Linked DNA regions of Rattus norvegicus. The protein of the gene in region 1 interacts with the protein of each later gene in a biochemical or structural test. Links are inferred from orthologs where the notes say so. Each region holds a gene or a part of one and is shown in the gene's direction. Other genes may lie near its edges.

Region 1 (4,286 bases):
TACAATGAAAACAAGCTAGAATGAAGGAAGTTGAGAACCAGAAAATGTCGTGTCTAGGAGGCACGCCTGGAATGGGGAACCAGTCTCTTCCTAGACTCTATATATAGAGTTCTGCTTAGAGAGCCAAATTATCCATTCCCGCATTCTCTCAACAAAACTTGTCTAACACCTACTATGTGCTCCAAGGGGAGCTCATTGGTGAGCTAACTGCACACAGTCTACTTCCTAGCACTACCCAGCACTTCCAGGTAGCCTGGCCCTTCCCACTCCAGCCCTTTCCTCCCTGAATCTTTTCCTCCTCCAGCAGCCTCCCTGCGAGGCCATCTGCTGAGAACCTGCCTGCCCTCCTGCCCAGTCCTTATAACATAAACAGCCAACAGTCCTCAACGGTGGGATCCAGATTCTTTGGCACCTCTGGGCAACTTCCACCTGGGTTTGGGGCACATGGAGGTGGGGGAGTCCTGCTCTTAGATCCCCTGTTCTCTAGGGTTTCTTTTGGAAAAGCTTAGACCCTTTCTATGTCTCCCCAGGACTGGGGAAATGGCTCAGTAGTTTGCCACAGAAGCATGAAAAGCAGAGCTCAGACTTTCAGAACCTTTATTAAAGCCTGGCAGGTATGGCAGCCTCCTGTAATCCTAGCACCTGGGAGGCAGAGATGGGGCCCAGGGTAAGCTAAACTAGTAGAATTGGGAGCTCTTGATTCAGTGAGAGACCCAACCTCAATAAATAAACAGAGAACAGTTGAACTAAAGACCACTCCTGACATCAGCTTCAAGCGTGTGCGCACGCGCAAACACACACACACACAACATACACATACATACATACCACACACATGCATACAGGCACCACACACATACCATACACACCTGTGCATCCTTTCTCACACACAAACATGCACACACGCTCATGAACACATGCACACACACTGCACACATGGCATACCCCTCAACACACACAAGCAAAGGAAAGTCCATCAAGACCCTATCCTCCTGCCTCTTAGTCTCCACATTCCCAAAGAGAACACAAACCTTGGAACCGAATCCCATGAGAGCTGGATTCTGTGGGAGGGGCAGCAGGGAAGCATTAATTCACTCTTCTAGCACCAGACACTAGAGCATCTCTGGGAGTGAACTGTCTCTTTGTCTCAAAGAAAGAAGGCACAGCCTCTTTGTCTTTTTTGGAAGACCCCCAGGGATGTGCTCATTGGACATGGGCCTCTGTGAGTCTCAGGGTTCACTTTGGTTGGTGGGCTTATGAAAGACAGCTTGGGCTCCCCCGCTCAACACCCCTGTAACAGCACCCCTGTAACAACAGCCCGGCTTCCTGGAGACCAAAACCACAAGCAGAAGGTAGAGGCGTGAGATACTCACAGGCTGGGCCTGTGTGTAGGAGAGAGAGTGTGTAGCACAGAGGGCGCTGAGAACAAGAACACAAAGGGCAGCACGGTGAGACAAGCCGTCGGTGGCACAACTGCCTCACCGAATCAGGATGGCACTTCCTACAGGCAGGCGTGGGTAGCAGTTGGAGCCGGCAACAGACATGTGGCTCTTCCTTGGGATCGCTGGATTGCTGACAGCAGTTCTCTCAGGTAGATCTCTTCTGTCACCTCTTACAGCTTGTGCTAGAGGACCCGGGTCCTGTCTGCTTGGCCTCTTGCTAGTTGTTCCCTCGTGGCCACTTTTGTAGAGTCTTTTAACTAAGACCATCCTGGTGTGACAACAGCTGGGGGCTTGAGATGACACAGGGACCCCTTAAAGGGTTGGATGATGCTCTCGTCTTTAAAAGGCCTCGTGGGAGTGAGATGAATGAGCTTTGTGCCTGACTTGGGTCCTAGGTCTGAGGAGGGAAGAACCCTACTCACCTTTGGGCTGAGGAAGCACCCTACTCCCACCCTGTCACAGGAAGGGAGGAACCACTCCTCCGAGAAGGTGGACCAGCCAGCAACAGTATTTTCCATGTTAAGCCCCAGAGTGGAGTTCACCAGGAGCAGAGACATAATTCAGGGAGACCCAGGGAACCTCTAGACCATCCTTCATAGTGACTTTGGGGTCAACCTTTTGGACTAATTTGAGACACAAATTATCGAGAAAGCTCTTGAGCTCCTGAGCTGCCTCCAAGTGCTGAAGTAGTCTTGAAGCCTGAACTGGGGTTCTGGAGCAAATGCCCAAAGTCACCAGACACTCGTGAGGTGCCATAGAGTGCTGAGGGCCAAGCTAGCAGAAACAGGCAATAGCAGAAACTCAGGGATCCCTGTACATGGTGGGCTTTCACATTTCGGGGTAGGAAGATGGTAGAGAAACAGACTTATGGTCTAATGAGTTAGGTCTGCCCTACAGAAGGGAAGCCCAGGCAGACGGACAGGGATATAAGCTCGTCAGAGGTTATGAGCACTAGGGGACTTCTAAAGGAGTGCCTTCTTTCTGTCTGGATCCTCGGGCATATCATCCAAGTCCCCTGGCATGTGTTTTGCACAGTAGAGGCCTGGGCTTTTGCTGTCCTTTTTTTTTTTTTTTTTCCGGAGCTGGGGACCAAACCCAGGGCCTTGCGCTTCCTAGGTAAGCGCTCTACCACTGAGCTAAATCCCCAGCCCCTTGCTGTCCTTTCTTGACCAGCTGTCTCCAAAGCAGCTCTCAGAGCTCAGCATTCTTCTACCCAGGCCGACTGCAAGACCTCCTGCATGTCCATCAGTGTCACTGCCCCCCCCCCACCTTTCCTAAGAGGCCCAGAGCAGGCTCAGAATTAATACCTATAAGGAAAAGACTGCTGACTGCTAAGACTGGAGTCTCAAATAAGCCAGCTCCTTCTCTTTCTGCTGCCTCCCAGTAGGGATGAGGGCTGGGGATGAGCGGAATACCGAGCCCTTTGTGCTGAAGCTGATAGGTCCTTCTGGGTCCTTCCTTGGTCTGAGATGATGGTTCCAGGGTGATGTCTATGGGAAGGCAAGAACTCAGCAGCAGGCGGGCTCCAGAGTCTACCCTTTGGTATGGTTTGCACCTGGCCCCATGCACAATATCAGTACCCTCAGCTCCTTCCTGTCCCTTTGTTGATGTCAGTTGACCTGCTTTTAGTTACTGATAGGAGTTTAGTTTTGAAAGAAAACTTGGTTATGTTGTAAGTGGAAAAGCCTTATCATTCGCCAGAAATTAAAGGGGTAAGGAAAGCATGAAAATAAATGGTGGCAAAACCAAATCGGAGGCAATTGACATGGTGCTACCAAGGCCCTGAGGCCTGCACCATTCCTCTCTCCCAGTCAGAGGGGTAATGAGGGAGGGGGTAAGGACATCCTGGTTCTGAATCGTTATTTTCTTCAGAATTTGTCGGTCACTCCGAGCAGGGAACAGGCCCCTTGTTGGTCAATACTCTCTGATCGGTGACTGATGGTCTATGTCCCATGGAGGGATGTCTCGAAAGGGCAAGTTTTGGAGGCGTGAGAAAACTGCACCCTAAAGTGACACTATGTCTCTCTCCCTCATGGTGATGGCTAGGAGACTGAGTCTCTGGGCCCAGGGACTGAATGTTCCTTCCTTCCTGCCTGATTTGGCAGACTCTACTGGCTGGGCCCAGGTCTTTGGAACTGCATATGGGATGGCAGATCTGTGTTGGACCACATGTGCTTGAGGAAAGGATGTTGAGAAAAGAGAAAGAAAAGGTAGAAAAAGTAACAAGCAATAAGGAGAAATGGAGCAGGAAAGTGAAGCCCAGGAGAGAGTTCTGGAGCTTTCTGTCTGGGAATGGTGTCCAAACTTGCTTGGTTCTATTCTGGGAGTCAGGGGCTGGCGAATGCCAGGGGTTAGTGGATGCCAGCTCTCCTGGGAGCCACAGAACTCTCCTCTGCTTAGGGCTGGTACCTGGCTCTCTACTCTGAGTCCCACACAGCTCACCTCTGGCAAGGCCTGTGTGTTACTGGGTGACCAGGACATCGGGAGACAGATTCACTGGGCCCCGTTCGGGCCTCAGTGTCCTGATCATCCAATGTGGGAAAGAGACTGAGTTGTGAACTAGAAGCCCTAACTGCAGGGAGGATGGGAACTTCAGTTTCCACCCAGTGTTTCTAATTCGCCAATTGATTGAGCTCTCATCCTTCCCTGGTCCTCATTTTCCCAGTTACTGGGTGAAGTCTTTTGTGTCCTGAAAAGGCAGTTTGTAATTATTTTAAAATCACGTACTTCCGGCTGGAGACGCTGCTCTGAGGCTGAGCACTTGTCTAGCGTGTGCGAGAGGCCAGCCTGACACCCAGCACCCGTACATAGAGAGATTGTTTAATTTTTAAAAACGAATCTGTT
Region 2 (3,820 bases), on another chromosome or scaffold:
AAGGCATACTTGCTTGAGTTGCATTGTGTTGGTGTCTAATCCTAAGAATGACCGAACTACATTGTTTCCTTTTTAATGTTTTAAAAATATTTTCAAAACTTTTCAGGCAATATGTGCACTCCTTTTTTTTTATTTTTCCTTCTTTTATTGAAAACTATGTTCATGCAATATGTTCTAACTACAGTTCTACAGTTTCCCTACTCCCATGTCCACTGAAATCATACCCTTTCTTTCTCTCATTTGAAAACAAACAAGCATTAAAAAGAAATAAAGTAAGATTAAAAACAAACTGGAATATGGGAAAGAAAAGGCACAAGAAACACATAAATACATACATTCTCACCTCAAAGGTCCCATAGAAATACAAAATTGGAAACCATAATATATATGTGAAAAGTCTGTTAAGTAAAAAACAAAAGAACCTCAAAAAATGGGATACAAATCTAAACAGGAAATTCTTGAGAGATCAGACAGAAATAGCTGAGAAGCACTTAAGGAAATGTTCCTAGTAAGGAAATACAAATCAAAACTGTTGCATTGTTTCTTACATTTGAGTGTATCACATCCAGAAACAGCCCGATTTGTACCTCAGAAAAACCAAAGCACTTAAGCCATCATTGAAAGATCCACCTTTTTTATTGACAAAGAAAAAGTCTAAGAGAAACAAATAGTTTTATTTATCAAAAAACAAATCCTATATATATTGCACTTGGATGTAACATCTTATGATTAAGAGATATGAGATAAGAGAATAGATGCCCTCTGTAAAGAATTGATATAAGAGGATAGATGTCTACCCTCCCTCAAAAAAAAAAAAAAAAAAAAACCACTGACCTCATTCACAAACACATTCGAAGGGAACAAGATTAATAATATGCTTAGGAACAAGTATCATGAAAAATTTAACTGACACTGAGCATCTATGGAAGTGGGGGGAGGGAGGCTGATTGCTGTGTTAAAATTCCCCAAAGAATCATAGACAGAGAGATGCTATCATTGCTTTATTAATCTCATTTCTGCCCACTATAAAGCTGTAGATGACCTGGACGGTCCTTATCTATGGATTCCACACTCCCTTAAAAACAGACCGTAGGACATCGCACTGGCCCATGGCATCTGCCACTATTCTTTCCCAGACTCAAAGTGCATCTCCATCTCTAAACTCTTCTCCTTTCTTCTTCCAGACAGAGGAGTCTCCTTATATTAATGGCAGGTATTATAGTAAAATTATCATTTCCCCTGAGGAGAATGTTACATTAACTTGCACAGCAGAAAACCAACTGGAGAGAACAGTAAACTCCCTGAATGTCTCTGCGAGTGAGTATTTCATTTCTGGCATTAAAACCGTAAGAAAATTTGAAGTTATTCTTCATTAGCTTAACATCTTCAGCTCCATCTCCCTGTACTGCATCATGGTAAGTTTCACGCTTTTGTTTGGCATTTTTGGTATCATCGCCATGAGGTTCTGTTTTCTTTTTTCCTGGTTTCCATTTTTCTACTACCCTTGTCTTCACAGTTTAAGTCACTTCATATATTAGGACTCAGACACTTTTCCCAGGATAGGATGAGAAAATAAGAAACCAGTTGCCCGTACTTAATCCACACTAAGGAACCAGAGTCAGAGAATTCCATGATTATTTTAAAATAATCTTGTAAAAGGTATACAATCAATAAATTTTTAGTTTCCCCATTAGTTTGCATTACAGTTTGTTATATCTTTATCCTACCCCTATTGTATACAGAAATGCCACAAATTAGGCCAATTAACAAATTGGTAGCAAAAATGTTACAAGAATTAATACAAATCAGGTTGTAAAGTTTCCCTTCTCTCATTGATTTTGAATCATAATGAAAATAGGTGAAATCATCTTAGAGAAAATTGAAGTATCTGTCAATATTGAAATCCTAGCTTATATATTTTTCAGAGAGAGAGAAAACATTTTGAAAACCATGATTTATTGGAAAATTAGATACCATTTTCAGGCCCGTTACTATTCCCATTGCTATGTTACCATGGCAACGTTAAACCAGGACTGACCTAGAGTAAGGTTCACTTTTACACAGGATGTTAGCTGACCTGCTGCCAAATGTTTATTTCTTGACCAGTTGGAATCCTTACATTGGTATGTTTCGAATGTAATAGCTAGGAATTTATAGGACAAAACATTTTCAAAAGATAATGGTCCCTCACATTCCTACTGGAATATAAAGGCCCAGTGGATGAGCTGGAGAGAAGAACTAAACAAAATTAACTTTAAAATACAATCATTGACTTCTCACAATGCAATTCACTGGGTATTGATTTGCACTACCTAGAGAGAACCCAGCCTTATTCTTTTGTTTTAACGGAACTTTTTTTTTAAACACTAACCTGTTAAATGAGATAGTTCAGCTTTCTCAATATGTAAAGCAGTCATCTTCAAACTTTGTCCTATCTGAGCACTTAAGATGAGGAATGTAGGAGTGAATTGTAATCTAACACCACGGAGAATTCTGATGCATTTCTAGGCACGCTAAAGAATATTTATGTAATTTAACTATAATCCAGGAGTGCACTGAATTTTAATGAAACCTAAAACCACAGCACAATCAGCAACCTGGAAGTCTGGCAAATATCATATAGGGGATGATGTAATCCCCAAAGTACCCTACATATAACCTCAACCCCAACTCCTGATTTGAGGACGTCATTACTAGCCCTTTACACCAACAAATGGAAATGAATTCTCCTAAATAGGGGCAGAGAAAGTCGAGCACAGATGAGAAACACAGTATTATAGATTTAACAGGGGCCTCTTGTTCCTCCCAAAAAGGAATTCTAGTGAAAGACACAGACAGTAGGGAATTAATATAGATTTTAGATAAATACTGCAGCTTATTGGTTATAAATTTTCTCTAGCACATTAAAATATGTGTATTCTTAACTCTTGTCCTTAAGATTAATTCCTCTGTACGAACATTGTAGGGAAATTTTTGCTCTATGAAGTGTGATTTTTCTTTACCCTTAGCTCTAGAATAGCTGTTTTATCTAAGTATTATTACATCATACTATAATGGTAAAGGTGTCTTTCATTTATCAACAGATTTTGTTTTTAATTTCATATTAACATTTTTCATTTCAGTAAGTATTCCAGAACACGATGAGGCAGACGATATAAGTGGTAGGTACTATGCCACAGACTCTCCTTCCTTGACTATCAGCTCAAGACTTACGAAGTGTCCTTGTCTGAGTGACTTTCTTAGCTGTCCAAAAATTTGACTTGAATTTCAATACCAAATGAGACAAGATAGTCAAAATTCTAAAAAATAAACTTTACCCTTCAAAAAAATCACAAGTTTGCATGTAAACCACAGTAGTGATCCTTAGCTGTCATTAACAATCTGTCAACACAACACCAACTTCCTTTTAAACTCCGTAGCACTGGCTATAGCTACACGGACTTTTCTTCTTTGTCGTAGATGAAAACAGAGAAAAGGTGAATGACCAGGCCAAACTAATTGTGGGCATTGTGGTTGGTCTCCTCCTCGCCGCCCTCGTCGCCGGTGTCGTCTACTGGCTGTACATGAAGAAATCGAAGTAAGTTGTACAGAAAGGTTCTTGCTCTTCACAGCCTCTGACCTGAACCAAACCAGCATGCGGAGTGTGCTTGCCCCTGCTGTGGGCAATTTCTAGACTAATATGGACACATCACCAAATGGAGCACACCACATTTTCTTTTACTTCATAGAGAGTGCAGGACCAACCATCAAGGATGTGGCCTGGACTGTGCTCATGTCTCCTTAGCATTGTTAAGTCAACGTTCTGAGACCAGTTATTTTT

Evidence for each region.
Region 2: the proteins of Cd6 (region 1) and Alcam form a complex in vitro, tested with the Homo sapiens proteins (4 studies listed by BioGRID and IntAct). The link is inferred for Rattus norvegicus from reciprocal best matches to the Homo sapiens genes CD6 and ALCAM.

What each region holds. Positions count from the first base shown.
Region 1 is NC_086019.1:216,903,703-216,907,988, reverse strand, and holds the start of Cd6 (T-cell differentiation antigen CD6 precursor), read left to right. Parts: upstream 1-1,464; 5' UTR 1,465-1,542; coding exon 1,543-1,591; intron 1,592-4,286.
Region 2 is NC_086029.1:61,986,637-61,990,456, forward strand, and holds part of Alcam (CD166 antigen precursor), read left to right. Parts: intron 1-1,184; coding exon 1,185-1,317; coding exon of another isoform or gene 1,318-1,376; exon of another isoform or gene 1,377-1,415; intron 1,416-3,122; coding exon 3,123-3,161; exon of another isoform or gene 3,162-3,164; intron 3,165-3,459; coding exon 3,460-3,577; intron 3,578-3,820. UniProt on the Homo sapiens protein: Cell adhesion molecule that mediates both heterotypic cell-cell contacts via its interaction with CD6, as well as homotypic cell-cell contacts. Promotes T-cell activation and proliferation via its interactions with CD6.